Linked DNA regions of Canis lupus familiaris. The protein of the gene in region 1 purifies or fractionates together with the protein of each later gene. This does not show direct contact. Links are inferred from orthologs where the notes say so. Each region holds a gene or a part of one and is shown in the gene's direction. Other genes may lie near its edges.

Evidence for each region.
Region 2: the proteins of DDX58 (region 1) and SQSTM1 purify together in Homo sapiens (affinity purification with western blotting; 5 studies listed by BioGRID). This does not show direct contact. The link is inferred for Canis lupus familiaris from reciprocal best matches to the Homo sapiens genes RIGI and SQSTM1.

Annotation. Positions count from the first base shown.
Region 1 is NC_049232.1:50,026,002-50,030,519, reverse strand, and holds the start of DDX58 (antiviral innate immune response receptor RIG-I), read left to right. Parts: upstream 1-1,504; 5' UTR 1,505-1,672; coding exon 1,673-1,778; intron 1,779-3,302; coding exon 3,303-3,437; intron 3,438-4,518.
Region 2 is NC_049232.1:2,128,960-2,132,769, reverse strand, and holds part of SQSTM1 (sequestosome-1), read left to right. Parts: intron 1-714; coding exon 715-795; intron 796-1,088; coding exon 1,089-1,148; intron 1,149-3,810. UniProt on the Homo sapiens protein: Molecular adapter required for selective macroautophagy (aggrephagy) by acting as a bridge between polyubiquitinated proteins and autophagosomes.

The DNA of each region.
Region 1 (4,518 bases):
CCTTTGCACTTTGTTTAGTAGAATGCTTTTTCACCCAAATGACCTGCTCTCTCACTTCATTTAGGTCATCCCTCATTAGCTCATCTGATATAAGCAGCCCTCACGACTCTATTCTCTTATCTGGCTTTATTTATTTCTCCTTCTTGAACTTACTCATATATTTTGTCTGTCTGCCACGCTGGACTAGACTAAGCTGTAAACCTGTCTTCTCCATTTTAGTCACGGTGCTACCATTCTTCTAGTTGCTCAAACCAGATGCCTGGAATGTAGCTTTGAGTCCCCTCCCCCTTTCCTTTCCACTGCTGCTCACTCCTATTGCTAAAGTATATCTGAAACATTTCATTTCTTACACTCTCCATGTCTACTGTCCTTATCTGTGATCCCATCATCTCTTGAGTCTCCTCTCATTGATACTTGTTCTGCATAGGAGCCAGGGGGCAAGTCTTTTCTAAAAATGTGATCAAATTACTCCTTAAAGTCCTGCTATGTGTTCCTATTGTACTTTATCCCTTGCCTTACAAGGCCCTGTTTACCAATGCAGCAACACTACATGCCATTTATCCCTTGTTCACCTTTTTTTTTTCTTTGATTCATTTGTGCTCTCTATCCCCCTGCGTAGAATCCCTCTCTTCCTACTCTTTTGGTTAATTCCTCCCCCATTTTTAAGGACTCAGCTGAAATGTGACCTACCCAGAGATATATATGCCTTTACCACTGTATTAAAATAGTTTTTTCCAACCTCCATTATTTTCTGTCTCGGACCCTATTTGATTTCTTTGTATCATTTCATATTTGCTTGAAAGACACTTTTAAGAAAATGAAATGGTAAGTCACAGTCTGGGAGAAGGTATTTGGGTGGGATACATGCATTCGACAATGGGCTCATCTCCAGAATAAATAACTTGTAAATCTATAATATAAAGGAAACACAATCAGGCAAAAAGATGGGAACAAATGCCTCACAAAAGAAGATGAATGGCCAATAAACACATGCAAATATGCTCACGTTAACTGTTCGAGGAGTTAAAGTCAAAACCACATTGATAGACAATGATGGCAAATTGACCAATGTAGATCTACTGGATCTCTTCGTCTACCGCTAGGAATGCAAAACGGTACGTCTGTTTTTGAAAACGGGTGGCAGGTTTCTGTGGAGTTAAACATTCACTTACCATAGGACCTACACGCCCTGGGGGAAGCAGTTACCACCCATATACATTTTTCAAAACTCATGGAATCGTACACTTAAAATTTGCGCATTTTATTGAATCTAAACTTTGCTATAAAAGCAAAATGGGGGGAAAAACCCCAAAATGATAATCAGAAAAGTTCCCGGGGGGTTGTCCTCGGTCCTTCCGGAGGACCCAGAGGGACCCGGTCGCGGGCGCCTCCAGATTGGCAAGCCAGGCACTCGGAGGACGCGAAACGAAAGCTCGGGAAGAGTGCGGTTGGCCCGGGAGGCGGGGCAGCGGCCGCGCACCCCCACACCCCTGGCCCGCGGCCGCCAGTTGCGGTTTCGATTTCCCATCCGCAGTTGGGGTTCCCCGGCGGCGGCCCCGCCTCTCAGCGCTGGGTCTGCGTCCGCTGCCTGAGATCCCTACAAGCCCGGCACAGGCATTTAAGGGAGTGAGCGCGGGCGAGGTGCGGACGTCCCCGGGAGCTGAGCTGCAGAATGACGGCCGAGGAGCGGCGAAACCTGCACGCCTTCCGGGACTATGTCATCAAGACTCTGGACCCTGCCTACATCCTGAGCTACATGGCCCCCTGGTTTAAGGATGGTGAGTGGTCCCCAGGGACGCCTGCCCCTCGGAGCAAGGAAACCACTCAGGACTCTGTTCTCCCCTTTTAATCAACACAAGTAGCATGCTAGGAACGCGGATGTTGAGGCAGGATCCTCAGGATTGTAGCCTGGAGTTCGCCAGGACAGTCTGAGGAGCCTTTAGGGGTCCAGATGGAGAAACAGCCCCAGAGAAGGGAAATGACTTGTGTAGGTGTGCACCTCTATTTAGGTTCAAGAAGGGGGAAACAAACCATTGTCCATTTTACTTTCTCTAATGCTTAATGTCTACCGTGTCTTCAGCTTTGTAGTGACAATAGAGATTCAGGAGTGAGATGTAGGCCCCTCTTTAAAATACTTTGCAGCCCAAGATTTTGTGGGAGTGGAGACTGCTGAGTATGTAAATGATTGCAAAATGCTTCAAGGTAATTGACAGTGACTTTGACAGTGACTCTTGCCGAGTCTTCTCTGCACTTAGGAATTACTGGAAGCTTGCCAGGGGTAAGAGACTCTGGGCTGAATGGCTGCCGGCTTCATTTCAGGTGTTTCTGTCTAGATTTTGGAGACACCTGATGATAGATCTTTGTTAATTTGAATCCAGGTGCACTGCACTGGAGAGGAACAGAGGCTTTGAGGAAAGAGGAAAAAGGAGGTGATGCCTGGAAGGAGCTGAAAGGAGAAAGGGGGATCTGGTCACTCCTTTTCAGGCTCCAAGTGCGGAAATATCAAGTGGCAGGACATGTGAAGGCAACCATTTGGTCATTGCCCCAGACATGGAGTTAGTGTACAAAGTCATGTGACCACCAGCAGTTTGGTGGATAGTTTTCTGTTCCTCGGCCTTGTGTGTGTGTGTGTGTGTGTGTGTGTGTGTGTGTGTGTTTAGCTCCTTTTGCCTTTTCTCCCATATTTCATACTGTCTAAGCAAAAACCTGGAAAGAGGACCATGAAAGTATTTCTAACTCTGCTTTCTGAGTCTGGTGTAATTAAAGATGCCATGGAGTGGTCCCATCTCCTTTATTGTGGGTATACTTTTTCCACACATTGTTAAGAAACTCTCTTTTTAAAGGATTGCCCTAGAATATGTTCCCAGACTTCCCACCAAACTAGAAGAAACTTCTAGAGAGGATGCAGGGTGGAGGGAAGGTAGGTTGATGAAGAATGAGCATCATCTGCCTGAACAGAGACTTTGCTGCCTTCTTGCAGTTCCTTCCATTGCTGGGATTTGTTACAATCGCCATCCCCATTTTTTTTTTTTAAAGATTTTATTTATTCGTGAGAGAGAGAGGTAGAGACATAGGCAGAGGAAGAAGCAGGCTCCTTGCAGGGAGCCGGATGTGGGACTCGATCCCCAGCCCAGATCCTGGGATTGTGCCCTGAGCTGAAGGCAGACATTCAACTACTGAGCCACCCAGGTGTCCCTTGCCATCCCTATTTGAGAAAGTCTGACAACCCTTTTCAGGTTTTTTTTTTTTTTCTTCAGTGATTAGTGGTTCTGCAGTTTGATGAGCCACTCTTCTATTTGTAGATGAGGTGCAGTATATTCAGGCTGAGAAGAACAATAAAGGCACGATGGAGGCTGCCTCACTTTTTCTTAAGTGCCTATTGGAGCTCCAAGAAGAAGGCTGGTTCCGTGGCTTTTTGGATGCCCTTGGTCATGCAGGTTAGTTCATTCTTCTTACTCATAAATCAGGATATTAACTGACTGTTTCAGAATGCGGTAAAAGTGAAATGCTATTAATTTTGAGCTATCCTCATGTGCTTCATGTTGCTTAATCTGAGGCAATGTAAAGATTACTTTCAATCACGATATAATTTGCCTACCTGAAATATCCAAAGGAATCTGCAGATTGTTGGGAGAGTTTAACAAGCTTATTAGATATAAGATTAGTATACAAAAATTAATTGCATTTCTGCACCATACACAAAAACAAACTCAAAATGGATTAAAAACTTAAATGTAAGACCTGAAACCATAAAATTCCTAGAAGAAAACATAGGCAGTGATATCTTTGACATCAGCCATAGAAACATTTTTTTACATTGATCTACTTTAGCAAGAGAAATAAAGCAAAATTAAACTATTGGAACTACATCAAATAAAAAGCTTTTGCACAGCAAAGGAAATCATCAACAAAATAAGACAACCTACTGATTGGGAGAAGATATTTGCAAATGTATCCAATTAGGGGTTAATATCCAAAATATATGAAGAACTTATACAACTCAACACCAAAAAGTCAAACAATCTTTTTTTTTTTTTTTAAAGATTATTTATTTATTTATTCATGAGAGGCACAGAGACAGAGAGAGAGGCAGAGACACAGGCAGAGGGAGAAGTAGGCTCCATGCAGGGAGCCTGATGTGGGACTCAATTCCGGGTCTCCAGAATCAGGCCCTGGACTGAAGGTGGTGCTAAACCACTGGGGCTGCCCCAAAGTCAAACAATCTGATTAAAAAATTGGCAGAATGTTAAGCAACTACAAAATACTAAATAAAAAGTTTGGCAAGCCCCCCCCCCCCCCAAAAAACAAAAGACAGAAGACACGAATAGACATTTTTCCGAAGAAGACCAACAGACACGTGGAAAGATGCTCAGCATCACTAACCATCAGGGAAATGAAAATGAGAACCAAAATGAGATGTCACCTCACACCTGTCAGAATGGCCAAAATCAAAAGCACAAGAAATAATAAATGTTGGTGAGGATGTGCAGAAAAAAGAATCCTAATGCATTGTTGGTG
Region 2 (3,810 bases), about 48 Mb from region 1:
GGAGAGCTGGAGGGCCTTTCCCATGTTCTGCGTGGCTGCTGAGCCTGTGGCTGGGGGGGGGGCGGGGCGCTTAATCCTCAGCCTTGCAAAGTGGGGAGTGTCCTCTTCATTTTGCACACAGGACATGGAGGCTCCTGATGGCCCATGGCCACTGATTCACCTACACTAGATTTAGACTCGGCCCAGTCCTAAACCACACCCCATCTTGTCAAGCCTTTTTATTTATTTATTTTTTTTAAGTAAGCTTTATATCTAGCTGGGAGCTTGAACCCACGACCCTGAGATCAAGCATTGTATGTTCTACTGATTGAGCCAGCAGGGCATCCTGCTGAAATATTTTTAAGCGTATTCACAGAGTTAAACACTTAACATATAACTTGTGTTTCAGAATTTTAGATTCTGGTTTTATTCTAAATTTATTATTTTTCTGTTCCTCTGGTTTACCTTGTTCTTTGGAACCAAGGTGAGGAGGTTTGTTTGTTTGATATTTGACATCTGAGCTAGAATGGGGTCCATATTTCATACCCCATGCAGTGAATCCCCCCCGGCTTCTGAACAGCAGTGTCACAGAGCAGCCCAGAATGGTGGCGATGGAGGGGCAGGGTCCCAGGGATGGATGGCCCCTGTGATGAAGGTGATGTGATTGTAACAGGTGTTCAAGTCCTTGAGAAATCTGCTTTGAATTGAATGTTTTTGTTTCTTTGAAAACCAAAGTTTCTGGTCCATCGGAGGATCCCAGTGTGAATTTCCTCAAGAATGTCGGGGAGAGTGTGGCGGCTGCCCTGAGCCCTTTGGGTAAGTGGCTGCCTCTGTACTTTGGGAGTGGCAGCAACTCCGAGTGCTGGGTGATGGGTGGCTTTGGGCGGCTGGCCCCTGGGTTGCTGTAGAGGAATGCTAACTGCCGTGCCCTTGTAGCGTCACATAGGCCTTTGCCATAGCGCGGCACTGCAGGCCACTCATTTGAATTCCCTGACAGATTCTTGAGCTTTCCCCATGGAATGAAGTGGAATCAGAGTGGTTGGTTGGGATAATCCCAGTAGGCTGAGCTACGGGGTTGGCCTGTCAGCCTCTGACTGTTCTTCCCACAGAGGACAGTCTGCTCCTCACGTCCACCCTACAAACAGCCCAGGGTTTACTCAAGGACTTGGGTGAGTCATTAGTTGAGAGGCCATTTCTCTTTTCCTCCCTTTTGTCTTTTGCAGTACCAGCCTTTTTGGTGCTTGCCGAGTACCAGGCTTGTGCCCATGCTAGGGAGCAGGGCATGAGGGAGGCGGGAGTTCTATATGATGCCCGGTACCTGGCCCTCAGTTCAGGTGTGAAGTGTCTGGGTGGGTGAACCAAAGCAGGTACCCCCGAGTGGTGAGCCTGGCCCAAGGCTTTAGAAGGCACCTGTTGCATCTGCAGCCCTGACGGTGGTCGCTGCAGGGCTGGGCCCTGTGGCAGTGGGAGTCCATGACAAAGGTGATCTCTGGTGCAGGATTACAGCAGGTCTGTGATCTTTGCCTAGAAGAGCGCTCACCTCTGTGACTGCGGTGGCAGGAAGTGTCCGCTCAGGTGGCCTAGAAGGCCTGTCTGAAAGGATGCAGATGGGAAGGGAGGCAGGACTGCTCTTGCCTCCCACTGGATACCGTTTCAGCTGCCACTCCTCAAGGCCAGGACACAATTTCAAAGCAGCAGTGATGTCCTGGCCTTGCTGCTCCGTGAAATAGCTCAGACCATATACTGTTTTTGGGACTGGAGTCAAAGGCTCTTTAGAGAAAGTGAAAAGAGCGCTGATGTTCTTAGTGCTTTCTAAGGAGGATAAAAACGGAGCAGTGATTAGGTCATAATCGGGAGATAAGCCTATTGCTAAACCCCGGCTGCCACTCGAGATGTGGTGACGAAAGCACGAGGCTGTGTTGAACTTTGAGAGATGGTCCTCTAATGGGTTGTGATTTAGGGGCACGGGAAGCTGTGCAGAATCCCAGGTCAACATTCTGGATCCTGGTAAATTAGTCTTGGGTTGGGCCTGGGATCTGTGTGTTTTGAAGGCTTGCCAGTGACTTTGGGTCGCACTTGCTGTCCATCCTGAGGCCCATCTGCGCTGGGGGCATGTTTTAGAGCTTGACCCAAATTCCCTACACAGGACTTACGGGAATAATTTTGGCAGTGCTCAGGTGTTGTAGGATAAGGGTAAAGGCCTTTTCAGGTCTTTCAAAGTGGATGGAGTTACTTTGTACCAACTCGGGAGGAGCCTAGAGCTGTCCAGAAAAACAAGGGAAGTTTCAGTAAGTATGCCTTTGAGGGTTTCAGTTGAGGAGGGCCACTTGAGGAATTGATTCAACTCTAGAGTTATAGGTATTTTCCTTTGTTACAAGGAACTGACAGCTAGGATGACTCATCCTGCTAACTGCCTAGAAGGGACTGTTCCCAGAGCAGGGGCCCAGAGGGACAGACAGTAATACCTCCCAGAGGGCAGACTGTGTGCAGTGACTCAGCGGTTTCAAAGTAAAACCCCAAGACCTTGTTTGGTAGGTGCCATAAGAACCAGCTGAGCGGGTCTACCATGGAGTCACAGGACTGCTCTGGCTTGGGTTTGTAGTCACTGATTCCTTTACAAAGGTCCTGTCATTTGCTCACACAGAAAAGTTAGACGGTGTATGGGTGTTCACTGTACTGTTCTTCCAACTTTTTTGTTTGGTTGAACCTTTCCTTTTTTCTTTAAAGGTTTATTTCTTGAGAGAGTGCGTGTGCAGGTGTGGGGGAAGGGCAGAGGGAGAGAGAATCCCAAGCAGACTCCCAGCTGAGCACTAAGCTGGACACATGGGGTTTGAGATTAGAACCTGAGTTGAAACCAAGGGTTGGAAACTCAACCTACTGAGCCATCCAGGTGCCCCTGCTTGACCCTTTCATGATGAAAAGTTGGAGGGAGGGGGCATCTGAGTGGCTTAAACGTCTGTCTTTGGCTCAGGTCATGATCTCAGGGTCCTGGGACTGAGCCTCACATTGGGCTCCCTACTCAGTGGGGCGTCTGCTTCTCCCTCTGCCCCTCCACTTGTGTTCTCTCTTGCTCTCTCTCTCTTTCAAATAAACGAATAAATAAATCTTAAAAAAAAAAAAAAGTCGGAGAGAGGATAAAAGGAGAAAAAGGACTTAAATATTGCAGATGGGAGTATTGGTAACTAAGCCTGTCTTTATCTCTGTTTGCTCCTCACTCTACCAAAGTGACAATAAAGGGATTAAACACAAGAGTATAAAGCAACACAGACAAAGAAAAAGGAAAGTCCTAGATGACGAGGTAAGATGACCTTAAACTTTGAAAGACAAGCAGTGGATTTTGAGGGTGGTGAGCAACTGTGTGGAGGCATCAGAGGCCAGGGAATTGGGGGTGTTTGAAGACCAGTCTTCAGGATCCTGTAGCCATTACTGGCTGGTCAGCCGAATGATGGTCCCTGCCATCCCAGGCATGAGACCTGATGGTTAGATGCTGGAGGGCACAGGGCGAGGCGGCAGCCTGAGTGAGCAGTCGGTCCAGCAGGGGCTGAGGTGTCCCTGCTCGGGAGAGGCCATGCGTGCCGGGGCAATGTCCTGTAGCTCTGCCACCCAGGATCCCACTGCCTGGCCAGGTGCCCCATCACCCTCCAGAGGAAAGCGAATCATGGCCCTGGCCCCTCAGGGGGTTCCTCCTGGCAGCCTCCTCTTAATAATGCCTTGCTAGGATCAGACTGCCGTGGTTGCCAGCCATTGGGGAAAAATCGCAGCGTATGGACAAGAAGGAACATGGGGAAGGATGAGAGTGTCCGCATCCTCCATGAGATCCAAATAAGTACT